Linked DNA regions of Canis lupus familiaris. The protein of the gene in region 6 binds, or shares a complex with, the protein of the main gene of each other region. Links are inferred from orthologs where the notes say so. Each region holds a gene or a part of one and is shown on either strand. Other genes may lie near its edges.

The links.
Region 1: UXT (region 6) and WDR92 share a complex: the UniProt entries of both Homo sapiens proteins name them as parts of the PAQosome complex. The link is inferred for Canis lupus familiaris from reciprocal best matches to the Homo sapiens genes UXT and DNAAF10.
Region 2: UXT (region 6) and PDRG1 share a complex: the UniProt entries of both Homo sapiens proteins name them as parts of the PAQosome complex. The link is inferred for Canis lupus familiaris from reciprocal best matches to the Homo sapiens genes UXT and PDRG1.
Region 3: UXT (region 6) and PFDN6 share a complex: the UniProt entries of both Homo sapiens proteins name them as parts of the PAQosome complex. The link is inferred for Canis lupus familiaris from reciprocal best matches to the Homo sapiens genes UXT and PFDN6.
Region 4: UXT (region 6) and RUVBL2 share a complex: the UniProt entries of both Homo sapiens proteins name them as parts of the PAQosome complex. The link is inferred for Canis lupus familiaris from reciprocal best matches to the Homo sapiens genes UXT and RUVBL2.
Region 5: UXT (region 6) and PFDN2 share a complex: the UniProt entries of both Homo sapiens proteins name them as parts of the PAQosome complex. The link is inferred for Canis lupus familiaris from reciprocal best matches to the Homo sapiens genes UXT and PFDN2.
Region 7: UXT (region 6) and POLR2E share a complex: the UniProt entries of both Homo sapiens proteins name them as parts of the PAQosome complex. The link is inferred for Canis lupus familiaris from reciprocal best matches to the Homo sapiens genes UXT and POLR2E.

The regions. Positions count from the first base shown.
Region 1 is NC_049231.1:68,505,325-68,508,192, forward strand, and holds the end of WDR92 (WD repeat-containing protein 92), read right to left. Parts: intron 1,413-2,868; coding exon 1,205-1,412; 3' UTR 501-1,204; downstream 1-500. UniProt on the Homo sapiens protein: Key assembly factor specifically required for the stability of axonemal dynein heavy chains in cytoplasm.
Region 2 is NC_049245.1:21,885,703-21,889,715, forward strand, and holds the start of PDRG1 (p53 and DNA damage-regulated protein 1), read right to left. Parts: upstream 2,801-4,013; 5' UTR 2,693-2,800; coding exon 2,606-2,692; intron 1,152-2,605; coding exon 1,076-1,151; intron 247-1,075; coding exon 172-246; intron 1-171. UniProt on the Homo sapiens protein: May play a role in chaperone-mediated protein folding.
Region 3 is NC_049233.1:2,883,259-2,886,199, forward strand, and holds PFDN6 (prefoldin subunit 6), read left to right. Parts: upstream 1-1,144; 5' UTR 1,145-1,186; intron 1,187-1,331; 5' UTR 1,332-1,415; coding exon 1,416-1,479; intron 1,480-1,729; coding exon 1,730-1,800; intron 1,801-1,879; coding exon 1,880-2,004; intron 2,005-2,210; coding exon 2,211-2,340; 3' UTR 2,341-2,441; downstream 2,442-2,941. Other genes in the region: WDR46 (WD repeat-containing protein 46), read right to left, coding at 1-28, 173-253, 362-574, 676-744. UniProt on the Homo sapiens protein: Binds specifically to cytosolic chaperonin (c-CPN) and transfers target proteins to it. Binds to nascent polypeptide chain and promotes folding in an environment in which there are many competing pathways for nonnative proteins.
Region 4 is NC_049222.1:108,061,521-108,065,019, forward strand, and holds part of RUVBL2 (ruvB-like 2), read right to left. Parts: intron 2,274-3,499; coding exon 2,167-2,273; intron 2,079-2,166; coding exon 1,985-2,078; intron 1,596-1,984; coding exon 1,472-1,595; intron 1,124-1,471; coding exon 1,029-1,123; intron 930-1,028; coding exon 811-929; intron 1-810. UniProt on the Homo sapiens protein: Possesses single-stranded DNA-stimulated ATPase and ATP-dependent DNA helicase (5' to 3') activity; hexamerization is thought to be critical for ATP hydrolysis and adjacent subunits in the ring-like structure contribute to the ATPase activity.
Region 5 is NC_049259.1:22,183,246-22,187,359, reverse strand, and holds the start of PFDN2 (prefoldin subunit 2), read right to left. Parts: upstream 2,801-4,114; 5' UTR 2,734-2,800; coding exon 2,659-2,733; intron 1-2,658. Other genes in the region: NIT1 (deaminated glutathione amidase), read left to right, coding at 2,881-2,882, 3,476-3,574, 3,820-4,074. UniProt on the Homo sapiens protein: Binds specifically to cytosolic chaperonin (c-CPN) and transfers target proteins to it. Binds to nascent polypeptide chain and promotes folding in an environment in which there are many competing pathways for nonnative proteins.
Region 6 is NC_049260.1:41,479,973-41,484,017, reverse strand, and holds the start of UXT (protein UXT), read left to right. Parts: upstream 1-1,245; 5' UTR 1,246-1,405; intron 1,406-1,582; 5' UTR 1,583-1,591; coding exon 1,592-1,689; intron 1,690-2,671; coding exon 2,672-2,768; intron 2,769-2,893; coding exon 2,894-2,961; intron 2,962-3,238; coding exon 3,239-3,346; intron 3,347-4,045. UniProt on the Homo sapiens protein: Involved in gene transcription regulation. Acts in concert with the corepressor URI1 to regulate androgen receptor AR-mediated transcription. Together with URI1, associates with chromatin to the NKX3-1 promoter region.
Region 7 is NC_049241.1:58,128,631-58,132,629, forward strand, and holds the start of POLR2E (DNA-directed RNA polymerases I, II, and III subunit RPABC1), read left to right. Parts: upstream 1-1,199; 5' UTR 1,200-1,276; coding exon 1,277-1,333; intron 1,334-1,556; coding exon 1,557-1,731; intron 1,732-2,977; coding exon 2,978-3,093; intron 3,094-3,505; coding exon 3,506-3,586; intron 3,587-3,999. UniProt on the Homo sapiens protein: DNA-dependent RNA polymerase catalyzes the transcription of DNA into RNA using the four ribonucleoside triphosphates as substrates.

The DNA.
Region 1 (2,868 bases), on a different chromosome or scaffold from region 6:
TGGCAGATTTAATGAAACAGAAGTAATTATTGTTCTTGACTTAAACCTAAATGCACCACCCAATACAAGTTTCCTAAAAGAGAATTCCATATTTTTTATTTTTCTTTTAAAAATGAAAAACAAAACAACCCAGCAGGTACAGGCTTTAAATTCAGTTTCAGTTTACTTCCATAATTATGACCACAGCAAAAAAACCTCTTGGGGATTTTTTTAAAAGGTCAATTTTCTGAATTTAATACTCCAAAACACTGAGTTTCCAAGCACCCATAAAGTCACAGGACTCTTACATATTAAAGTGTTTTAGGTGCTCCGACTCCTGAGTTGGGGGGGGGGGACGGGAGGCTTAAGGAAGGCGTGACAAAGTGAATGCCTCTGAGCCGAGCCAAAGATCCCGTGAGCACGATGAAACCGTGGATCACGAGGTACTTACTAAGCATTCATAAAGCAAAGAAGTGATGGTGTTGGCCTTATTACTACTGTTACGTGAACAGAATCAAAGCTTCCACAGATTTCAAAAACAAATTTATTTATAAAATATATGAAAAGATTTGACAAAAAAAATAAGGCTAGAAAACCCCCATAATCTTCTACATCTCAACATCACCTACCAGCCAATAAGCAAGTCTAATTTGACTCCTGTTTTTTAGGTAAAAAGAGGTCACTATAAATATTCACTTGGTAAATGATATTTCGTTTTAGGAGTCTTACAGCTGAAAACAGTTACCAAATCTAGTCTGACCATGCCATTTCGGTATTTTATAAAGTAATAGTCTGTACAGAAACTTACTGACACTGAAATCTCTCAAAGTATATGAAGGTTAATTCATGGTACTTTTACTGAGACTGAACTATTTGAAACCAGGTGTTATGGTAAAATATGTAACTCTGGGGTCGAAGAACAAATTTAAAACATGTTTAAATGCAGAAAAGTACCAACTTTTTCGTAGAGATGGAGGAGAGATGAGCAGCGCCGGCTCTGGAGACAGCGGTCCCCCCACGCTGCAGCAAACCAGTCCAAGTCCAGTGGATGGAACACACCTCTCGGGGTTTCACACCCGGAGAGGAGGCGGGTCTGGACGTTTGCATCTGGGGACTGTTTTCATCCGTCAAATCCAACTCTGCTAGTGAGGGCCAGAGGATCCCCGGGCACGTCCTAAATACTCTGAGCGTTCCTCCGGAAGGTTTCAGGTCCTAAGTCTTCGGATCAAATTTTATGGAGTTTTGTAACGATCAGTACTCTTACCATTTGATCAAAAGAACTGCAGATGCAGAGACCCCTTTTATCTGGACTCCAGTCGAGACTGGAAATGGGCTGGGTAGACAAGGTGACGTTCTGCAGGAGGCTGACCGAGCCCGCAACTCCCATCTCGACTCCCTCAGAATCTTTCTTTGACCGCTGAATAGGGTACTCGCTGCAAACAAGACCGGAGTGGTAAGGACAGAGATCCTAGCGTTCTCCACACCGTATTTATACACATACAGTCCAGTAGCTCCATTTTTACTTCTCTGCTGGGTACTCAAGCTGATAAGGACTTAAAGAATCTCTCCATGTTGCGTTTTATACAAATAGACACTATTTCAGCCTCAGCCTCATCCCCCAAAATATAGCTTTAAAAAAGAAATAAAGGGCTCGGTTCTACTAAAAACTTTTAAACATCATCTCTGCTCAGCTTGAGCCTGTATTCTCTTTTATTATAAAGTTCTAGGTTGACCTAGCCTTATTTATTAAACTTGCTTGGTGTTCCTGATAATCTTTTACGCAGTCCTTCTCTAGATCCGGCTTCCTGGACACCACAGGCAGCGCAAGTGCAAAGGCAAAAGCTGTAAGTAACACTTGCGGAACATCGCCTAAGCACTTCCAGAATGAGCAGCAGACTCTGTTCCTAACTGTCGAGCTCTATGACACAGACCCAAGCCCACAGACCTTGTGTGTACCATTGCCATGGAAACGTGCTGCTAGGAGACTTTAGATCTTAAAAAAAAATCATTGCTTTAAAAAAAAAAAAGCAATTCTAAGAACATTTTTTTTTCAGCTGAACATATAAATTCATAAAATAAGTAGAGCTGAAGGTTAACAACTATAAATACTATTTGGTCTAGATTTGAGAAGGGGGAAAAGAAGTTCCTAGTGAAAAACAGGAATAATCTTCCTCAGAGGGGCTCTAAAGCCTGTTTGGTACCGACCATGACATTACCTTCATTTCCTCGATGCTCATAGAGGCCAAGAGTGTGAGAGGGACAAAGCAACTCAGAAGCAGAGCAGAAACACAAGTGCTAGGCAGATCCCTACTATTCTTTCTTCTTCTTGGACCATACAACCTCTTTTGATTAAAAGGAGTAAGACATTCGGATGATGACACAGTTTACAGAATTTTTTCATGTCTCTTGGCAAAGGATGCAATTATTTAGTATTTAAAACAAAGATTTTTTAAACCTTCTATATTATCTATTAAAGTTTTAAGAATGTATATGCATGTGTGAGAGTTTTAAATACACAAAAATTGGATGAAGAAGATGTAGTATATGTAAGATGTAGTACACACACACACTAGACTACTACTCAGCCATCAGAAAAAAAAAAGAAATCTTTCCATTGGGAAAGACGTGGATAGAGCTAGAGGGTGTTATGCTACATGAAGTAAGTCAATCAGAGAAAGACAATTATATGATCTCACTCATGCTGAATTTAAAAAACAGAGGATCATAGGGGAAGAGAGGAAAAAATAAGATGCAATCAGTGATGGAGACAAACCTAAGAGACTCTTAACTCTAGGAAACAAACTGAGGGTTGCTGGAGGGAAGGGGGCGGGGGGTACCTGGTGATGGGCATGAAGGAGGGCACAGACTGATGAATCACTGACCTCTACC
Region 2 (4,013 bases), on a different chromosome or scaffold from region 6:
ATCCCCTCCTTCAGAGATAAGGAAATAACTCAGAGTGGCAAAGCAGGAATTAAAACCCACATTTGTCTGAGCGCTGCCTCTCATCAAATGGTCCAAAGCCTGATTCTCAGTTCTAGGTTAAGACTAATGCTATGTGGGACACGTCCCTGACCCATCCCCAGAAAGCCTTACCTTTCTCAATCATTTCCTTCGTTTGAGGGTGAGGCATCTTGATAAACATGTTCCCGAAGCAAACCATCACATCTTCTGAAATGGCAAATGGTCACTCTTTGAACAAATATTTTAAGCACCTACTCTCTGGCAAGCATTGTTTAAGATACTGAGAACACAGCAGAACAAGACAAAGTTTCTGCCCTCATAGAGCTTATGACATAGTGGAGGAGAAGGAATAAATAAGCCAAGATATGATTTGTCAGACCCTGATAAGGCTAAATACTCTGGAGAAAAATAAAGCAGGGTAAGGGGGTGGGGAATGCCAGAGTACAAGACAACCTTGACTTTAACAGATGGTCCAACAAAGCCTCACTGATTATGTGACATTTGGGCAGAGACCTGAAGAAAGTGAGGCGTAGGCCCTGCACATCTCCCCCCAAAGTTCTTCATTATGACCACTGTAACCTTCATTATGATACCCGTCCCCTTACTTGGTCATACCCACCTGGCCTCAACTAGAGCCCTCAAACCCTTCCTCCAACACCCACCCCATGTCCAGTTCCCTTTTTTTTTTCTGTCCAGTTCCTTCCTCAGCTTGCTTACAACTTCCAATTAAGAAAACAAAAACAAAAAACTTCCAACTAAGTATTATGTAGTTTTATTTGTAAGAGCACACCTCACCCTAGCACCTTCCTCGTGCCATCAATGAGCCAGCAACTAACACCCCCCCCACACACCCCACCCCTGTCATGGAGATGAGCAGCTGAAACCACTCTGTATCAGACCTCCAACATTTTCTCCCTCATCTCCATAGGCTGTGTCACACAACTGTGGCTTTTTGTCCCTATCAGGGATAAATTGAAAGCCTTACAAGAAAAACAGAACAGGCCCCCAGGACTGCATGACTGAAACCTTGACTTACCAGAGAGGCTGAGATCCTTCTGCAGGGCTCGTAGGCCCTCCCGGTTCTGATTTCTTTTGGTGTCCAGGTCCACAATCTGCAAAGCACATGGGCAGGAGGGAACTCAGCTCCCTCTTGCCCCAAACCATCACCTCCCAACAGACCAGGGGCTGTTAAAACCCAATAGAGACAAACTCATTCCTGAGTTTCTTCCAATGTCATGCCTAAAACACACTGATGTGTAAATGTACATCTTCCCCTATTCTGTATCCAGGTCCTTAAAGACAATGCTCTGTGCAGGGGCCCTCCCCCTTCTCCCCAGAAGGTGCTGGGGAATCCACTGAAGTGCTAATGCTCAAGCTTCAGGGCATTTCAGAATCTCCAAGAGAGGAGAAACCTCCCCCTGGACTAGTTCCTCCGGCTGATGCTGACCTAGTATCACAAGAAGCCCAAAAATACTAGACTGCAATGGCAGGGGTGGGGGGCACAGAGATGGCACCAACACAGAAGCTGCTATGGAAGTGAGGAGGCAGTGCGGTTTCTTGAGAACGCTGGCGAGCTGTGTAACATCACCTTCTGGGAAATGGAGATATGAATAGCACCTGCCTCACAGGTTACTGAGCCAGGAATCAAATGAGATAGCATAGTATTTGACACACAGTAAGTGCTTGAGACATTTTAACCACCACGTTATCATCATCCCGCACACCCTGATGCAGTGTTTAATGGGCACTTACCCAAGTCTTCCCCTTCTCAGTAAATATCCGACCAATCATCCAATTATTCTAACTGGAGATGAGGAGCCATGAATCATTCTTCACTCCTCCTCCTCCCTCACCCCCATATGTAACTATCATTAAGACCTACTAAATCCAACTCCAAAAGATACCTCAGACCCACGCACTTGTCTCCTTCACCACCACCCTGGCCCAAACCCACTCCTTGCCTGAACCCCGGCAGTGGCCCCTCACATGTCCCTTACCCTTCTAGGCTCTGTGCTCCACCCCGCAGCCAGGGGAAATCTTTTTAAAGCCCAGATCCAATTACATCCTCCTCCCTTCCCCCATTAACTCCCTCCAAACACTTAGCACTTAAATTAGCACAAGGCGTCCCCACCTGCCCAACGTCAAAACTGCTCAGGCCCCCTTTCCTCTCCTCCCGAGAACCTTGGCGAAGACAGTGCACCCACGGTCGGGGGGGCAGGGGGGGCAGGGGAGGCAGGGGAGGGGGGAGGAGGAGGAGGAACTGCATTTTGAAAAAGGTGTTGAGCCGTTACCCAAAGAGATAACGGCTCGGGATCCGGAGGGGGACGGAGACAGGGATCCGTGGCACCAAGCAGGCGCTCCTAATACGTACGTGAGGCGCAGCGCCGGGCCAGGTGTCGGCCCTCCCTCCCTCCCTCCCCGCCGCCCCAGGTCCGAGGTCACGGTCGGGAGCCCACGGCCAGCCCGCGCCACCGCGGGATTCCGGGCCCCGCGCGCGGCCCTACGGCGCCAGCCGCCAGGCCCCGACCGCCGAGCCCTGGCCCCGGGCCGCGGAGGAGCCTCCCACCTGCCGCTTGTCCGCCAGCACCGCCTCGGCGAGCTCCTCCACCTCCACCAGGTACCGCAGCACCCGCTCCGCTTCGGGGGACAGCATGGGGCCCGCCAGCTCCGACTCAGCCCGGACCGGGGAGCGAGCCCAGCTCCAACGCCGGTAGGGCTCGGCTTCGGCTGCGCAAGCGCACGGCCAGGCCTTCCGGCGCGCACGCGCAATTAAAAGAAGAGTGGTGCGCAGGCGCTAACACCCGGGCGCCCTGGGGACGCGAGAGGCGGGGCCTAGCCTTGGGGGCGGGGCTGGAGCGCCCCCTGCAGACTCAGAGGGCGTGGGCCGCGGAGCTGCCTCTTTTTTATATATATATATATTTTTTTTTTTTAAGATTTTATTTATTTATTCATGAGAGACAGAGAGAGAGGCAGAGACACAGGCAGAGGGAGAAGCAGGCTCCATGCAGGGAGCCCGATGTGGGACTCGATCCCGGGACTGCAGGATCGCACCCTGGGCCGAAGCCGGCGCTAAACCGCTGAGCCACCCGGGCGTCCCTGTATATGTTTTTATTGGAGTTCAATTTGCCAACGTATAGCGTAACACCTGGCGCTCATCCCGTCAAGTGCCCCCCTCAGTGCCCGTCACCAGTCACCCCCACCCCCCTGCCCACTTCCCCTTCCACCACCCCCTGTTCGTTTCCCAGAGTCAGGAGTCTTTCATGTTCTGTCTCCCTCACTGATATTTTAACTCATTTTCTCTCCTTTCCCCTTTATTCCCTTTCACTAATTTTTATATTCCCCGAATGAATGAGACCATATAATGTTTGTCCTTCTCCGATTGACTTATTTCACTCAGCATAATACCCTCCAGTTCCATCCACGTCGAAGCAAATGGTCAGATTCGTCCTTTCTGATGGCTGAGTAATATTCCATTGGATACATAGACCACAGCTTCTTTACCCATTCATCTCTCGATGGACACCGAGGCTCCTTCCACAGTTTGCCTATTGTGGACATTGCTGCTATAAACATCGGGGTGCAGGTGTCCCGGCGTTTCACTGCATCTGTATCTTTGGGGTAAATCCCCAGCAGCGCTATTGCTGGGTCGTAGGGCAGGTATATTTTTAACTCTTTGTGGAATCTCCACACAGTTTTCCAGAGTGGCTGCACCAGTTCACATTCCCACCAACAGTGCAAGAGGGTTCCCCTTTCTCCACATCCTCTCCAACATCTGTTGTTTCCTGTCTTGTTAATTTTCCCCATTCTCACCGGTGTGAGGTGGTATCTCATTGTGGTTCTGATTTGTATTTCCCTGATGGCAGGTGATGCAGAGCATTTTCTCACGTGCTTGTTGGCCATGTCTATGTCTTCTTTGGTGAAATTTCTGTTCATGTTTTTTGCCCATTTCATGATTGGATTGTTTCATGATTGGA
Region 3 (2,941 bases), on a different chromosome or scaffold from region 6:
TTCGTGTTTTCGACTTCGAATGTGGCAGCTATACCAGCGTTGGCAGGAGAGTAATGAAAAAAGAACCAGGTGTTATGTGGGGTGCCAGGAGAGTCACACAGTTCCTCTTCATCCAACTCACTCATATGCTCTCCCAAGCTGCAATCCCTCCTCACTCCCAGCTGGTCCTCACCTTTTTGGATTTGTCAATGCGACGGAACTTGCGAGCCACTTCCTCAGGGATGGGAGCAGGGCCTGGAAATGGATCCTGGGCCTGGGGAAGGAGGAAGCAATTAGCAGACAGGTTAGGGTTGACCCCAACCATCGCACCTGCAAAGTACAAGGCAACTTGCCCCACCACCTTATCAGGTCCCAGGCTCACCCCGGACAAATTTCTCTGAGGCTCAAGATTTCTCTGTTCTCGAGGTTTCTTCGGGAACTGAGGCTTCCCGGGGATCCGAGACTTTTTTGGGAGGTTAATGTTCTTTGGCCTCTGGGGGCGGAGCTCTCGATTCCTTTTCTTGTTACGAGGGGGCCCTGGAGAGGCTCCGGCAGCGGTCAGAGTGGCTTCCTTCTCCCAGTACCTCCGCGGTTTCTACGGGCAGATCACAAGCTCTAACACTCCATAGCCCTCGCCCCCCCACCCCCGGGACCCCGCAGCTAAAAATTTCCCTTCCACCCTAGCGAGGTCTCTACCTTCTTCTTGGTCTGAAGTCTGGCCTTCTTGGGCTGGACATCTCTGCCGGGTTTGGAGGCTGTTTCCATCTAGCCCACCGGAACGACGACCCACGTGCAAACTTCTCTCAGCTGTCCACAGACGGCTCGGAAACTCCCGGAAGCCCGCCGGCCCTCGTCCAATCAGTGCCTACCAGGTCTGAAGCCGTCTGAGCGCCATCTTGAATGAGGGCCCACTCTCTCTCGAGGGGCGGGGCAGGTCTTGGCTCCGCAATCCCGAGCAGCCGCTTATGCCCGAGTAATGAAAGAAAGGTAGTCTGGGGCTGGGGACAAAGTAACGGTGCAGTTTTTTTTTCCAGCTCCGTTTCCCTGTCTTGCCTAAAACCTCCCGGGTCCAGTTTTCTGGGGGAACACCGTTCACTAAACGTGCCAAAACTACAGTTCCCGGCATGCGTCAGAAGACAGCTTCCGGCGCCTTCTTTTCCCAGCATTCTTTGTTTACTTCCAGGTTTAGTAATAGTGAAGCGAGAACGTGAGTATGGCTGGGTTACGGTTGAGGGGCTTGGGGTCTTGCTGCGCCCGCCACCTCCTGGGGCCTGCGTGGAGGGCTCTCTGGGACGAGGAGAGGCTGTGGTGCCCTGGGAGGCTGCCTCGCAAGAGTGCTGTCCTTTCCGCAGGCCGGGCCAGAAAGGGGAGTTTAGGTACCTCCCAGAGTGAGACCCAGCGCCCGCTCCCACTCCCCGCGGGCCTTCGTCCCCGCCATGGCTGAGCTAATCCAGAAGAAGCTACAGGGAGAAGTGGAGAAATATCAGCAGCTACAGAAGGGTAAGGGAGCAGCGTCGGCGCGGCCTCGCCCCAGACCCTTCACTTACAGCCCAAAGCCAAACCAAGATAATATGTTGTGCCCCACTAGAGGCCCCGCGTGCAGCTCCTTCCCCATCTCGGAGCTCGTCCCCACCCACTGACCTGTTGCCGCCTCCTTGTCTACTTCCTCAGCTCCGTTTTCTTCTCACCAGGATTGGGGTTAGGCGGCACATGTGATGTGTTTAATCAACCCTTTCTTCCTAACCCCCAGACTTGAGTAAATCCATGTCGGGGAGACAGAAGCTTGAGGCGCAGCTAACAGAAAATAATATCGTGAAGGAGGTGAGAGAGGGATATGCCGGGCCAGAAGGGACCTGACCTGGAAGTGATTCTGATCTTGTATGTCCCATCCCTCCATCAGGAGCTGGCCCTGCTAGATGGATCCAACGTGGTCTTTAAACTTCTGGGTCCTGTGCTGGTCAAACAGGAGCTGGGAGAGGCTCGTGCCACAGTGGGGAAGAGGCTGGACTATATCACAGCTGAAATGTGAGTCTTTGTTCTGACACCCTGCAAGGCACCGGACGCCCCCAGCGTAGAATGTCGAGGAGCCGTTGGAGTAGTTCCAGGGTAGCCCTGTCTGATCTGCTTCCTCAAACCCTCCACGGGGAGTCCAGGAGAGTCCAACCCTTCAGCACCCTCAAGAGTAAATCCCATCAATTTCTCATTTGCTTGTCTCTCTTGCCTCTCTTCAGTAAGCGATACGAATCCCAGCTCCGGGACCTTGAGCGGCAGTCAGAGCAACAGAGGGAGACCCTGGCTCAGCTGCAGCAGGAGTTCCAGAGGGCCCAGGCAGCCAAGGCAGGGGCTTCTGGGAAGGCCTGACCCCATGGGGGGGGGAGGGAATGAGGCAGCTCAAGGGTCTATGCTGTAGCTAATAAAATGTGAAAACCCCTGGCTGTTTTCTGACCAGCCACTTCCTGTCATGATGGTCTCTTCCTTGGGCCCCTTCAACTTTATATATATGCCACCTGCATTACTCTGTTCGGTCCCAATTCTCGTGACTGGAATTGCCACAGAGTAATCCTCCTTTTTTCACTGAGACTAAAATCTGAAACGTCTCACACCTACTTGCCTATATACACTACGCTTGCCTTGGTTGGCATGCCCCTTAGGAAACATGAGAAGAGCATTTACCACGCAATGATCATTGGGAAGGCCAGTTTAACTACAGAGCTCACGGTAATCTAAACTGAGACCCCAGGGTGAAATGTGGTGACCCTCTTGCTATGCTTTCTTGTCATCCTCCAGAAAGCCCCAGCATCTTAGTCTCATTCTAGAATTTGTTTGAATGAAGTTTAGGCTGATTTAAAATCCCAGCATGGAACACTTTGTGATGTTGTAAGGCCCTCAAGTTTATACGTTATCCACAAAGTCATTCTTCCATTTCTTTGTCCTAAAATTGTTTCTTACAAATGTCCAACCA
Region 4 (3,499 bases), on a different chromosome or scaffold from region 6:
GGTGAGCTCCATGGCTCTAAAATTTTCCCCCGGCATTCTTAGGCCAAAAGCAATATTAAGTTTTGTTCTATAAGGTCGTTAGGGCTAAATGACCTAACTGTAGTGATGCAGGCAGTGTCAAACACATCTGTCTCTGTGCATCCCTCAGAAACTCAAAACATGGGACGCCTAGGTGGCTCAGCGGTTTGGCATCTGCCTTCGGTTCAGGGCGTGATCCTGGAGGCCAAGGATCGAGTCCCACATCAGGCTCCCTACATGGAGCCTGCTTCTCCCTCTGCCTGTGTCTCTGCCTCTGTGTCTCTCATGAATAAATAAATAAAATCATTAAAAAAAGAAAGAAGAAAGAAGAAAGAAAAGAAAAGAAAAGAAAAAAGAAAAGAAAGAAAAGAAAGAAAAGAAAAGAAAAGAAAAGAAAAGAAAAGAAAAGAAAAGAAAAGAAAACTCAGAACATCCCAGAGCACTCATGTGTTTTCAGCAGCATCCTGGCATGCCTTGGCACACAGTTTGGGAACTTGAGCCTCAAGGGCTACAGGAACTAAAATACAGAAAGAACATGATCCTCAACTTCCTGATGGAGCAGAACTGCCTGCCTACCGCCCTGAGCACCCGCCTGCTTTGTTTTAGGGAGAAGCTAAAAGACAAACTTTGTCTAGGCCCCCGTACATGGATAGCCTTGTGACACCAGCTAAGTCCATACCCTTCCTGACAGGGAACTCAACAAACATTCCCTGTTTACCCTGTGCCCATACCCACTACCTGGAGCACCCTGTTTCTCCCAGAGACCTCTGGGGAGGCCAGCAGCTGGCTCACCGGGTGATGCCTCGGTTGGTGGCCATGATGAGGACGGGCGCCATGTCACTCTCCAGGGCCCGATTGAGGAAGGAGAAGCTCTCAATGTCCAGCATGTGGACCTCGTCGATAAACAGCACCTGGGAGCCATTGGGGCATGTGTCAAACCTACCCAAGCCTCTTTCCTCCCATTTGCTCTCACTGTGAGCCGCCTGCCCTGGCCACACCCTGGTACTCACGCCAGGGATGATCTCAGCCTTGCCCTCCTCACGCCACTCGGCCACCTTGGCATTGATCTGCTCTCGGACTTCTGACTTGATCTCCCCTGTGTCGCCTGAAGGAGGTGGGGGTGACACAGGGAGTGTCAGAGAGGAGACAGGGACAGAGGGCCGGAGAGTGGACAGAGAGAAATGAAGATGGGACACCAGGGATAGAGGGAAGAGAGATCAAAACTGGAGTGGCAAAGTGACAGAAGGAGTGTCTCATTCGGTCTGCAATGTCCCAGAGAAGAAGACCCGAGGCAAAGAACCCAGGAAGAAGAGAGGGTAGGACATGCAAGCCCCCATTGGGACTATCCAAGAGGGAATGAGGGCAACAGTGTGGGTAGGACGAACCAGGGGGCTGTACTGGAGGTAGGAGGAGCAGTGTGTGCCATGAACAGAGCCAGCCTGCTGGGCCTCACCTGAGAAGAGAGCCAGGAAGCCCTGGGTGCGGGAGTTGATGACATCAATCTCATGCAGGGACACGGTGTGTACGACCTCCTTGCGTTTCTGGAGCTCTCCGTCTGGACACTGCACAAACTTGGTCTATGGGGCCAGGGGGCAGGGAGGGAGAGGTAAGAGTAAAGAAGAACATGAAAGGGGGCCCAAAGGGGCTGTCTGGGTGGAGAGTTGGGGGAGATTGGACTTCCTGGGGTAGAGCTAAGAATCCAGAAATCCCAGGTCCAAGAGGAAGTTACCACCAGGGCACTCGAGAGCACTGAAGGATCGGAGGTTACTGGAGGACCTCAGAAACCATGAGCAAACTGCAAAGATGAAGTGCCCTCCTTGTCCTGGTGGGTACAGGGAAGAACCAGGAGTAAGGGACATGGGGTGGGGCTACTGGAGGATCCGGACCCTCTGGGCCATGGGGGTGATAGAGGAGATGCAAACATCCTGGTGCCTGGAGTGAGCGGACCCCCAAAGCCCTGGCCCACCTGGGAGCCCATGGCATCATAGTCGCGAGCGCGTGTGAAGGAGCGGCCCAGCTTGGAGATCTTGCCTGTGGCCTTGTCGATGGTAATCACATCCCTGCATGTGGAGGAGGGTGGGAGTGAGGACATGAAAGGGCTCGAGATTCCCCCACCCTGACCACCTACCATGGCCCCCTGCCACTCACCCAGCCTGGACCTTGTCCTTAGTCAGGGACTCAATCATCTTGGTGCCCAGGTCGTATATAGTCTCCATCTCTGTGGTCTTGAGGGTCAGCTTGCCGACCTTAGAGCCCTGAGATGGGTGACAGGCCAGCCAAGGAGTTCAGAGGGGGCCCATTGTCTCCCCAACACAGCTTGGAAATGGGCATGACACAGGGATGCTTTAGGGGGCAATGGACTGTGGATATGTCAAAACTTAACATCCTATAAACTCTTTTAAAAATTATTTATTTATTTATTTATTTGAGGGAGGGAGAGGCACTGGTGGGGCTCAGTGGTTGAGAATCTATCTGCCTTTGGCTCAGGTCATGATCTCCAGGTCCTGGGATCAAGTCTACATCAGGCTCCCCACAGGGAACTTGCTTCTCCCTCTGCCTATGTCTCTGCCTTGCTCTCTGTGTCTCTCATGAATAAATTTAAAACATCTTAAAAAAAAAAAAAAAAAAAAAAGAGTGAGAGACGGGCAGCAGGGAGGAAGCGAGGAAGAATCTGACACAGACTCTGCACTGAGTGCAGAGACCAACGCAGTACTCAATCCCATGACCATGAAATCGTGAGATCATGACCTGAGATGAAACCAAGCTTCAGGGATGCCTGAGTGGCTTAATGGTTGAGTGTTTGCCTTTGGCTCAGGTCGTGATCCCAGGGTCCTAGGATTGAGTCCCACATTGGGCTCCCTGCATGGAGTCCGCTTCTCCCTCTGCCTGTGTCTCTGCCTCTCTCTCTCTCTGTGTCTCCCATGAATAAATAAATAAAATCTTTATTTAAAAAAATAAATAAATAAATAAAAGAAAAGAAACCAAGCGTCAGACGCACTACCAAGCCACCCTGGTGCCCCAACATCCTGTACTTTCACTGTGTGCAGCTTATTGTTTGTTGGTTGCTCAACAAACCGATTACTAAAAACCCAGGAAGATAACAAACAACAACTTACCTAAAAGATAAAGTCTTTAAGAACAGCAACATGGACTAGAGGGCCCTGATGTGGGGAGGTGGGAGTGTGCCACACTCTAACATTCCTTGTTTTATGTCCACGTAACTTGTGTTTTTTTTTTTTTTTTATTAGTCACAAACCCAGAAAACAGAGCTAAGCTAAACACAGCTAAGAAAACAAAAATACCACACTTTCTCCCCACAAAATAAGCACAGTCAGTGTCTTCCAGCACATCCACTTGTCTCTTATTTCTAGTGAGCTGTTCTTTTTGTAGGGAAAGATGGCAGGACAAAAGGGCTGGAATTCAGGAGGAAGAGAGAGATGGTTTTGGTTTTACATTTTTATTTTATTATATTTTAAAGATT
Region 5 (4,114 bases), on a different chromosome or scaffold from region 6:
GGGTCCTGGGATTGAGTCCCACATCAGTCTCCCTGCATGGAGCCTGCTTCTCCCTCTGCCTGTGTCTCTGCCTCTCTCTCTCTCTCTCTCTCTCTGTGTCTCTCATGAATAAGTAAATAAAAAAATTTAAAAAACATTTTAAGTAAGCTCTAGGCCCAACATGAGGCTTGAACTCACAACCCAAAGATCAAAAATCACATGCTCTATGTACTGAGCCAGCCAGGTGCCCCAATAAATCTTACATTTTTTATCCAGTGTTCTCTCTGAAACACAAAGGCCATAGAATGTTAAGCAAGAACAGCCTCAGAACTCAATTATCACAACTGCTCGCTTTCTTTGGAGGGCTTCTTCTCTTTCTCCATAACCCCTTAAATATTGGTTCCATCCTTGTTCTGCTGCTTCTTTTTTCAACTTTCTGCACAAACCCTAGATGATTTTGCCCATTACCATGACTTTTTTTTTTTTTTTTAAGATTTTATTTATTTATTCATAGACATAGAGAGAGAGAGGCAGAGACACAGGCAGAGGGAGAAGCAGGCTCCATGCAGGGAGCCCGATGTGGGACTCGATCCCGGGTCTCCAGGATCACACCCCAGGCTGCAGGCAGCGCCAAACTGCTGCGCCACCGGGGCTACCCCCATTACCATGACTTTATCAGCCTTCCATAAGCTTATAGTTCTCTGACTCAAATGTAATTCAAAATTTATAAATCAAACCAACTATTAAATACCTCTACTTGAATGTCCTACAAGAAATCCAAACTCAAAACCCCAAGAGAAACATATTCCCCACCCCCCTAGGCATTTCCTATCTTCCTACATTGCCTATGAACAAGCATCCATCAAAGACATAAATCTGAGAAACATTCTAGTTTCCTCTCTATCCCGTTTTCTTCACATTGAAGTCTTGCAGTCCACCCCATACTTTAAGCCCACCTGCATCCCCAACAGGCCAGAAAGGTTCATGCCTCACTGCTTTTAAGGACATTAGTCTCTGCCTAGGAAATTCTCCACTTCCTTCTTTTTTTTTTTTTTTTTTAAGATTTTATTTATTTATTCACGAGAGAGACAGAGAGAGGCAGAGACACAGGCAGAGGGAGAAGCAGGCTCCATGCAGGGAGCCCGACGTGGGACTCAATCCCGGGTCTCCAGGATCACACCCTGGGCTGGAGGCAAATGCCAAACCGCTGAGCCATCCAGGGGTCCCTCCGCTTCTTTCTTTGCTTGACTAACTTCTCTCATCCTTTAGAACTGAAGGATTATCTCTCCCAGAAAAACAAACACTATACTCATTACTGTGCAAAACACTTTGCATGCATTTCTTGTCTAATAATAATCAAAACAGTGATGAAGTATGAACTGCCAAATTTTTACAAGGTGAGAGAGGGAACTCATGGGAGGTCATCTACACATAATAAATAGCAGAACCGTGATTCTAAAACAGATCCGCCAACCCTAGGGCACTTCTTATGCTCTTAGCCACCCCTCAGAAAGTATTAGGTTCCTTCTCCTTTTCCTCCCACCACAACACACGGGTCGGGGGGCAGAAACTATCGTTCCCCCCCCCCAAAGTCCTGCAGCACTGGGCAGCCCGGGGGGGCTCAGCTGTTTAGCCCCTGCCTTCAGCCCAGGGCCTGATCCTGGAGACCCGGGATGGAGTCCTGCGTTGGGCTCCCTGCATGGAGCCTGCTTCTCCCTCTGCCTGTGTCTGTATGAATAAATAAATAAAATATTTTTTAAAAATCCCACAGCACTTTATACCTGTTAGGACACTCATCTTCGGCCTTATGTTAGCACTTAGTAGGTCTTATTTCACTGTGAGCTCTTTGATGGCGTGGGCCAACTTGAAAAATCTTTATGGAGACACCTTTGCCTGCGGTGACTATTCGACAAATAACTGACAAGCGAGCGAGCCTGCAGCGAGAAGAGCTGTTGTCTTAGGTTTTCCCTTCTGTCGCGGGGATTTCTTGCCACCCAGACTACACACTAGCCCCGCCATTAGCAAACCAGGGCTCCCCGCGCGCCACAAAAGGCTCTCCGGGTTGTTTATCACACGTCTCCCGCTGCTGAGACACTGGGGGAGATGCAAACTCGGGTTACAACACGGTTTCTGGTCGCTCAGGAAATCCAATCTAATAACGACGTGCGGGTCAAAATAGTATGGGACGGCGGACTGCTGGGGCATGCGAGTCACGTGGCTCTGCAGAGTGAGGGCGACGGTCAGCGTGGTGCCGGGGTCACCGAACAGGCCACACGGCCAGCCCGCCGGCTCATCCCCGGGGATTCGTGCCGAGCCGCCGGGCCCGGCCTATCCTGCGGGAGGGTGCGGGGAGGTAGGCAGAGCCACGCCCGCCCCCCGCCCCTCCCCCTCCCTCTCCTCCCTTCCCTCCTCTCCCCTCCCTCCCCTCCCCTCCCCTCCCGCCGGGCTCGGGCCCCGGGCCGGCTCACCCTGCACCCCGGGGGGGGCGTGGCCTTCACCGACCAACCCTCCCGCGCTCTCCCCCGGACCCGGCCAGCTTCTCCGAGGACCCTCCCCTCTCGGGGCGGCCCCGCCACGCCGGGACGCGCGCGGGGCCTGCCCCAGCCAGCGGCGCCGCCCGCTCCTCGCACCGACTCGGGCCCGGCCCGGCTGCCCTCCTTCGCGCCCTCCGCTCCTCACCTGCTCTGCCGACACCGCCCCTTTCCCCGCGCCGCCGCCGCTGCTCTTGCCGGCGCGACCGCTGCTCTCCGCCATCTTCGCCGCCCGCTGCGCTTCCGGCCTGCGCGGCCCCGCCCCCGTGCGTCACATCCGGCCTGGAGGTTGCCGCCCCCTGGCCCCGGGGCCGCCGCTTCCAGGCCGCTCCTCCGGTCGGACGCTGCCGACGGTTTCGGCTCTATCCTCATGTAGGACCCAGCGGTGCACTCCGCTGCGGGGCTTTAACCCGTGCAAGGGAGCCGCTGCGCCTGGGAGAGGCGGAGAGGCCGGGTTGACCGGAGCGTGGGGGCGCGGGCTGGGATGTGTGTGGGTGCCGGTGCCCTTTGCCCCCCACGGGGTGGGAGGGGCGAGGGACGGTGAGCTTCCCCTCGGAGATCGGGGTAAGGGGGCATCCGCTGAGCAGTGCCGCCGTGCAGGTGCCCAGTGAAGGGGAGAGGCTGGGGAGAGCAGGGAGGTTTCTTGGGGATGCCTTTTGAACCGCGGGTATGTTCCCCCGGGCGGGCAGGTGGGGGCGGGGGCGGGGTGGGGGTGGGGGGGCTTCAATCTAATACGAGCCCACTGGAGCCGAGACAGGTGCCGAGCAAAGCCCCTTCCTCTGTCTTCCCACTTTATGAGTCTTCCTGTAGCCCATAATTACTCCCAGTAAGACTTGGTGGGGAGGGGGGGTGTTTCTCTGCGAGGGCCCTGCTTCAGCCTCCCAGTATGAAGAGAGGAGTCAGAGAATCCTGGAAATGTGCTGCTTGAGCGCGGGAGTGGTGTCCTGATTTCTCACCTTCCTCAGGCTGGGCTTCATCATCAGGCCTCCTCACCAGCTCCTGCCCCTTCTCTTGTGTCCTGGACTCCGGATACCTCGACTCTCAGTACTTTGTGCACAGCCCAGGTAACATGTTTTGCTCTGTCCTTGGCGCCTGACACTTAATAGATGTTCAGTAAATGTCTGTGATGTGCATAGATGGTGGGATACACTGGGGTGCCAACCATCACAGAACATTTCATCAGTGGGGAGCCCTGAAAAGCAGAAACCAAAGGGCAGCGCAGCCCTCCTGCTCCCCCACTTAAGACTCTGATTGTTAAATTTGCATTTCCCCATTCTGGAAGTCTGAGCCCTGCCCGTGCCATTCACAGTCCCAGAGCCATGGCTATCTCCTCTTCTTCCTGGGAACTGCCGCTGGTGGCTGTGTGCCAGGTAACATCAACACCAGACAAGCAGGAGAACTTTAAAACATGCGCCGAGCTTGTTCGAGAGGCTGCCAGACTGGGTGCTTGCCTGGCTTTCCTGCCTGAGGCATTTGACTTCATTGCAAGGGACCCTGCAGAGACACTACGCCTGTCTGAGCCACTGGGTGGGAACCTTTTGGGAGAATATACCCAGCTTGCCAGGTATCAGGGAAAGGGGGAGGGAAAGGTAGCTTCCTTGTTG
Region 6 (4,045 bases):
AGATTTGCACAGACCTATCTTCAGTTCTTCAGAACTCTGTGTTGTTTTGTGTTAAAGATAATAAACATGGGGGGATCCCTGGGTAGCTCAGCGGTTTGGCGCCTGCCTTCAGCCCAGGGCATGATCCCAGAGTCTCAGGATTGAGTCCCACATCGGGCTTCCTGCATGGAGCCTGCTTTTTCCTGTGTCTCTGCCTTTCTGTCTCTCATGAATAAATAAACAAAATCTTTAAAATATATAAATAAAGATAATAAACATAACACCTCTTTTTTTCCCCATAGGAAAATGGTATAGATTAACTCAATAATAGTTGTCTAACTACCTGGTGTCTATTTCAATCACACGAAATGTAACTTTAACTATATGTAATATTTGAAGATTTACAAAAAAACATTTTAAAAAATTACATGTCCTTTCCAATCATCTTGTTCTTAGGGCAAAGAAAAGCTTGACTTGCTTAGGTTTTGAGCATTTGAAAGAAAAACTTGCCTTTACACACAAAACACACAAAGTATCTGAGAAGACATCACTGGCATGAGTGGGGGCTCTCGGCCCTATAGGCAGGCATAGCATTTGAGGGATTTGGTATCTGTGTTCTCCTTCAGGCTCAGCCAAGACTTGCTGGGTATGATGCTATTATTTGAAAATGTAACATGGGAAATAAATTCATTAACTTGAGTGCATACAAATAAATAAAAGTTTATACATTTAAATAAAGACTCAGGAACATTTCTAACTACAGAATAGCCGATCTTGAGCAGAGGACTTCAGCGACCCGCCACCTGATGCCTCTATTAGACGAGGTAATAGACATAGTGTTTTGTCAATATCTGCTTGGATCCTAGTTATGGATGGCAGGTTGCAAACTGGAGTTACCAAAGCTGAGTTTCAGAGAATCTGTCTCCGTTTAAAAAAAAAAATTTAATGCTCACATTCATTCCCATTACTGGGAATCAAACCCAAATCTCCCGTGCGAAAAATCAAAATCCATGGCGACAGTTCCCGGGATGTACTCTCCTTTTTACAAACCAGAACCATAACCAATTCTTGCCCGTCTGCTTCCGAAGCTCTGACTTTTAAATACTACACGCTTCTCTCTCGCCACCTGTGCGCCCCGCCTCCCCCAGGAACCCGCCAAATCCCATTAAGGCCCGCCCCCGCGAGCCACGCTCAGTCCCCACAGGCTCCGCGCTGCCCCGTTCCCACGCTGCGCGGCCGGGAGTACACTCGGTGGATTCCCTAAAGCCCCGCCCTCCTCTCCTCCGCTTCGCCCCTTTCCAGCCCTTCAGAACCGCCTTTCCCACCCGGCTATTCGGTTGGCCCGCGCCCTTGTGGTACGTCATTCACCCGCGCCACCCGGAAGCCACGGTTTATAGCAACCGTTCTTATTGCCGGCGGCTCTAAGGTGAGGGCCGCGTTTGGGTGTCCCTGGGTGGCAGAGTCCCAGAGTTGGGAGGGGCAGAAGGCGGAACCCCGGCCGGAGCCGAACGAGCCCACTCCCGCTGTCGAGGGGGTGCAGATGTACTGTGCCTGAGGCCAAACTGTGTGGTCAACGTGGTGTGCTCCGCTCCCCATTCCTTAGGAGCCCATCATGGCGACGCCCCCTAAACGGCGGGCGGTGGAAGCCACGGGGGAGAAAGTGCTGCGCTATGAGGCCTTCATCTGTGACGTGCTACAGCAGGACCTGCGGTGAGTGGCAGCGTGGAGGGCCGGGCGTGTGGAAGGTTCCACGTGGGGGGGCGGGGCGTCCAAAGTCAGGGTCTAGCCTTCTGATTGGTGGGAAAGGCATTTGGAGTCCAGCCCCGTGCGCCGATCCGGCGAGGAGGGGCGACATCCGGGGTGCTACTGGGCTGGGATGTGGCGGTTCTTGTAGAGGGTGTGTCCGCGCCTGTCTGGCCTCCCATCTCACTTAGCCGTGGAGCTAGATTCTAAAGCGGGAGTTCTTAGGTTCGAATCCTTGGCCTGGCCCCTTCGCCATCTGTGTGAAGACGTTGTACGCTGCCTCGACTTTGTGTGCCTCAGTTTTCTTATCTGTGAAATGGGAAAGTTCATGGAACCTTCCTCATGGGGTGGTTTTGAGTTTTTAATGTGTTCCCCCCTTGTAAAGGATTTAATGTGAATACTAGGGGCTCTATGAGTATGAAAAATTGTTACTATCACTATTAATCTGAGCAGGAAGTAGAGTGTTCAGAAGCAGGATAATGAACATCCTGAAAGGGATGGAAGATTTTTCTAGGGTGAGAATGGGACACTTTTTTTTTTTTTTTTGAGAATGGGACATCCTGATTGGACGGAATGTGGTAATAGTACTAATAAATAAGAGCTAAAACATATATAGAGCTTAGTTTTTGGTTAGGTGCTATTGTAAGTGCTTTGTAGTAAACAGTTCTCTTAATGACTTTGTGAGGTAATACTTGTCGTCCCTTTTTTAAAGATAGGGAAATTGACTCCTAAAGAGAAAATGAGTCCTAAAGAATTTGCTGAAGTCACACAACTAGTAAAAAGGAGAGCCTAGATTCAAACCCAAGCAGTCTGACTCACAATTCAAATCAACTTCTGCACTAAAATGCTTCTTTAAGGCATGGTGACATGAGGGTCTCAGTCATAATATGAGGTATTCTGACAGGTCCAGGGCTTCCTGTTGGTCACCATTTTCCTCTTGTCCCATCAGAAAAGTGCTGGACCATCGCGACAAGGTATATGAGCAGCTGGCCAAATACCTTCAACTGAGAAATGTCATTGAGCGGCTTCAGGTAAAAACAGCCAAGGTTAGGGACCATTTTGATGTGTTTGGGCAAGGGAGGGGGATGGGAGGAGAGACCCCAGACCAAAACCTGTCAGCTGACCTGAAAGGTGACCACTGACCCCTACCTCTTTTTCCCTGGCCCCACAGGAAGCTAACCCCTCGGAGTTATATATGCAGGTGGATTTGGGCTGTAACTTCTTCGTTGACACAGTTGTGTGAGTGTCTACCTGCCCCTCTGAGCCCACAGGGCTCAGCTTCCCCCTTCCTTCATGCAACAAATATTTTTTTTTGAGTATTTGCTATGTACCAGACACTGTGCTAGGTGCCGGGGATGTGACAGTGAATCGAATAGGACAAAACCCCTGCCCTCTCAGAGCTTCTAATTTGGGGAAGGTGGGAGGAGTGGAGTAAAAAAAAATTGCCAATAAACTGTATAGTATGCTAAACAGTAATAAAGACTTCCCCCACTTCCTCTAACCATTGTTTCCTCAGCCCAGACACTTCACGAATCTATGTGGCGCTCGGATATGGTTTTTTCCTGGAGTTGACACTGGCAGAAGCTCTCAAGTTCATTGATCGTAAGAGCAATCTCCTCACAGAGTAAGTCCATTCTATGAAGTGTCTAAAATACCACCATTTGCAACATCCTTTTCCCTTTCCCCATGGCTCTCTGAGATGATAGATACTTAAGGGCCCATTTCTCCTCCTCCCCAGGGCTAGGGCTGAGGAAAGTAGAGATGCAAAGCTCAGCCCCAAGAATAGCACATAGGAAGCACTCCATAAATGGTCTTGATATTGCTCACTCACACACACATTTGTTGGCTGTTCTATGCCAGGTTCTGTACTTGGCAGTGGGGAGGCCACAGTGAACAAGACAGAAGGGTTCCTTGAAGGCCTAATCTTGACCAGATCCAGAAGGTTTTGGCCTATAAATCAGTAAAACAAGTTACCTCCCGATTTCACCTCCTCCTAATTTTCTTGCTCCTTCACTGTGCTCTCACCACACTGATCTTCCTGGGCTTCTTGAAACACCCTCAGAGTGATCCCATCTTAGGGTAACCGCGCTCTCTGCCTATAACATGCTTTCCCTGGGTACATGCATAGCTTCCTTTTTCCTAACTCAGTTTAAGTCTTTTTTTATATAGTTTTTTTAAAGATTTATTTATTTATTCATGATAGACACACAGAGAGAGAGAGAGAGAGAGGCAGAGACACAGGAGGAGAGAGAAGCAGGCTCCATGCAGGAGCCCGACTCGAGACTCGATCCCGGGACTCCAGGATCGCGCCCTGGGCCGAAGG
Region 7 (3,999 bases), on a different chromosome or scaffold from region 6:
GAGAGGGAGCAGCTGTAGGAATGTCAGAAGAAGGGCGTATCCACCAGAGGGTGCAATGTGTGCAAAGGCCCTGGGGCTGCACTTTGCCTGCTGCGTTGGCTGCAGGAGGCCCCGGGGGAGGGGGGAGGGGAGGTCAGAGGCTGTCGTGGGGCAAGCCTGGGGCACACCTGGGAGGCCTCGTTGATTGCCTTGAAAAGCCGGGGTTTTCCTTTGCTGTTGCTGCATTTCAGCTGAGAGATGGGGGAGGGGGAGAGGAGGGAGAGGGCCACAGATGGGGGCTCACGTCGGCGCCTGCAGTTCTGAAGGTGGAGGGTTTGCAGTCGGACAGGATGGACAGGATGTGGAGAAGGGGCAGGACGGAGGAGCGGAGCTGCCGGCCCAGGGCGGACAGACTAGGGAGAAACGGGTGTAGACGGCAGATAAGAAAAAACGGGCTGGCGGAGGGGGTGCCTGGGGGGCTCCGTTGCTTAGGCTTTTTTTTTTAATTCTCGAGAGACAGAGACAGAGAGACAGAGAGAGAAAGAGAGAGAGAGAGAGGCAGAGACACAGGCAGAGGGAGAAGCAGGCTCCACGCAGGGAGCCCGACGTGGGACTCCAGGTCTCCAGGGTCACGCCCTGGGCTGCAGGCGGTGCTAAACCGCTGAGCCACCCGGGCTGCCTTTCTTTTTTTTTTTTTTTTTTTTAAGACTATTTACTCCTGAGAACCGCTGGGGGAGAGGCAGGCTCCTGCGGGACCCGATGCGGGACTCGAGCCCACGATGCGGGGATCACACCCCGAGCGGACGCTCAGCCACGGAGCCACCCGGGCGACCCGAGGCTGCTGCGCAGTAAGGCGGCGGCGACGCCCAGCAGCGGGATGCGTACCTGGTGGGGGGCCTGACAACATGCCCTGCGCCCCGGGGAGGCGAGCTGACCGCTGACCCCACCCTGGCCTCAGTTTCCCCGCCCACACCTCGCCTCCGCCCTTCCGGATTCCAAACTCCCCACCCACACGGGCATCGGGCGGAAACCACAACTCCCGACAGGCCCCGCGGCCGAAACCCCGCGACAACTGCCGAGGCGAGAGTGGGCGGTCCCGTTCGCTCGGCTCTGGCTCCGCCCACCGCCGCTCGCAGAAGGCCCGGGCTGCCCTCGGCGCTGCCGCCCGCGAAGGTCTCTGGAGTCCGGCGTTCGCTGTGGGCAGCCCCGCGCGGGGCTTGGCAGGGCTCGGCGCAGGCGCAGTCAGCGCGGGCCCCTGCCGCGGGCTCAGGCGCGCGGGTTGCGAGCGGCGGCCGCCATGGACGACGAGGAGGAGACGTACCGGCTGTGGAAGATCCGCAAGACCATCATGCAGGTGAGCCCGCGCGGTCAGGGCGGCGGCGGGCGCAGCTCGGAGCTTCCGGGCGCGCTCGGCGGGTGCGTCCCGGCCTCTGCGGCCCCTTCCTGTGCGGTCCCCACGCGCTCGGAGGCGCCGGGCCGCGGCCCTGTCCGTCCTTCTCCGCGGTGACGTCATCCGGCCGCGCCCCTCCCGCCCCGCCCTCTGAGCCCGGGGGTCACCCGGCTGGTGCTCCCTGCAGCTGTGCCACGACCGCGGCTACCTGGTGACGCAGGATGAGCTGGACCAGACGCTGGAAGAGTTCAAGGCCCAGTTTGGGGACAAGCCGAGCGAGGGGCGGCCCCGGCGCACGGACCTCACGGTGCTGGTGGCCCACAACGACGACCCCACCGACCAGATGTTTGTCTTCTTTCCAGGTGAGGGTCGCGTGGGTCCTGGGTGGCTGCGTGACCCCTAGGAGTCCGCAGCCCTCGTGCAGCCATCCAGGGACGGTGTCTACACCCGCCCTCCCGAGTGCCCAGCCTGCTGCGCACGGTGCCACGGGGTGCTGATGGGAGCCCTGGGTTCTGTTCCCCGCTGACTGTTCGTTCAGTGCAGCCGGATTGTCGCAGGCCTCCCGGGGGGCCCAGCCCCCTGCCCAGAAGCAAGGGCGTCGGAAACCTTTGCAGGAGGGACCCTCCTGGTGCTCGTGCAAACAGCGTCCCCGTGTGTGGGTCGGCCTGTGGCAGGGCCCTCCCTGGAGTGGGCCCGGGGCGCCCGTGTGCTCCAGTGGGCCACAGAATGGGACTGAGCGGCCGTGCTGGTCCACCTGGACCGCCGCGACTGGGCGCCGCAGACCGGGCGGCTTCAGCAGCAGCCTGACCTCTTCCGGGGCTGCAGGCAGGACGTCTGAGACCAGGGTGTGCACGGGGCTGGGTCCCCCTGAGGCCTCTCCCTGGCGTGCCGGTGGCCGTCTTCTCCATGAGTTCCCGAGGTCGTGCCTCTGTGTGTCTGTGCTGTTGTGTCTGACTGAGGTCCATCCTGACAACCTGGTGGAATCTCCTCTTTAAAGACCTCAGTTCCAAGTACGGTTGCACCCGAGGTCTCGGGGGTTAGGATTGTAACACGGGGATTCCGTGGGAAACAGCTCAGTCCCTGACGCTGCCCGTCAGGTGAGCAAGGGTCCGAGGGGAGTGCTGTGATGGGGCAGATGTGGTGCACCACACGCACCCGTCCTGGCAGCAGGCACCCAGTTGCTCACCTTCCACCAGGCTCAGAGGGTCCCGCAGGTCTTGGCCCCTGTACTGTGGTGAGCGTGAGGGTTCCCACCGTGGCTGTGCAGGGAGGGGGTTTGGTCCTTCAGGTCAGCTGCTTCATCTGGGGATTCCAGACATTGCACCACGTAGGTCCCCAGATTCAGCTTCCAGGGAGGGATCCACCAAGTGGGTAGATGCAGGGCACCCATCAGCTCCGTGGGGGCTGGGGGGGAGGACTGGCACCCTGGTGGGTTCCCTGGGGCCCTAGAAAGAGGGAGCTGGTCCAGAGAGGCACTGCTACACCTTGGCAAGGTCAAGCTGGAGCCCGCGCGCCTAGCAGGGTGGAAGTGAACGAGCAGGTGAGTGAGCAGGGCCCTTGGGGCAGGAGGGACTCTTGCAGTGTAGACCTCGTGTGTTCTGTCCCCAGAGGAGCCTAAAGTGGGAATCAAGACCATCAAGGTGTATTGCCAGCGGATGCAGGAGGAGAACATCACCCGGGCCCTCATTGTGGTACAGCAGGGCATGACTCCCTCCGCCAAGCAGGTGGGCACGCTGCTCGTGTTGGCCGCACGTCCTCATGGGCCCCAGGATCTGGGGATCTGAGAAGGAGCGGCTCTCCCGTGTGGGCAGAAGCCAGAGCAGGGAGGTGCCCTGCATGGGTGCCAGCATTCCTGTGGTTAACAGGTCCGAGGAGGGGCTGCTGTTTGGGACGGAGGGCCAGCTCTGTGCGCTCGTCCCTGCAGGGTTCTCTACGTCACACCAGCACAGGGACAACTGCAGGAGCATTTTGTTAGGTGTCACAGTTTGTGTCGGGTGGTCTCTTCCTCCCAGAGGAGCCTTACTGACCTGACACGTGGGAACCCCCTTTGGCTCCCACCTGCCCTCAGCCCCTGGGAGAGGTGGGGTGGCGGCGTCTTGGGCCTTGGCTGTGCGTGAGGGTCAGCCTCTCTTTCAGTCCCTGGTTGACATGGCCCCCAAGTACATCCTGGAGCAGTTTCTGCAGCAGGAGCTACTCATCAACATCACGGAGCACGAGGTGAGGGCCTTAGTGGGGGTCTGCGGGAGGGGAGGCTGGACGGCTGGTGAGGTGGCACCTGCCCGAGCACAGGGAGGGCCTGGGGACGCACCAGGTGCCGCTGCTCCCACTTTGTGGGGAGGAGGAAGCAGAGCCGGAGTCTCAGTGAGGCCCTGGGCACTTGCCAGGTGTGCAGTCAGGCAGCTGGGGGGCAGGGGGTGGGGTCTGTCCAGGGGCCCCTGCACTCTCCAGGTTATACCCCCCCAGGCGCCTGCAGGCCATAGCTCCTTCCCCCCAGGCGTGGAGTCAGGAGCAGGGTGGGGTGGCAGCTGGGACCCTTGGGTGGATGGTTGACTCCAAGGAAACAGCCTGTGGCGCTCTGCTCCCCTTTCCCGTGTGGGGGCGCCGTGGGGCCTGTCACACCCACAGACTCA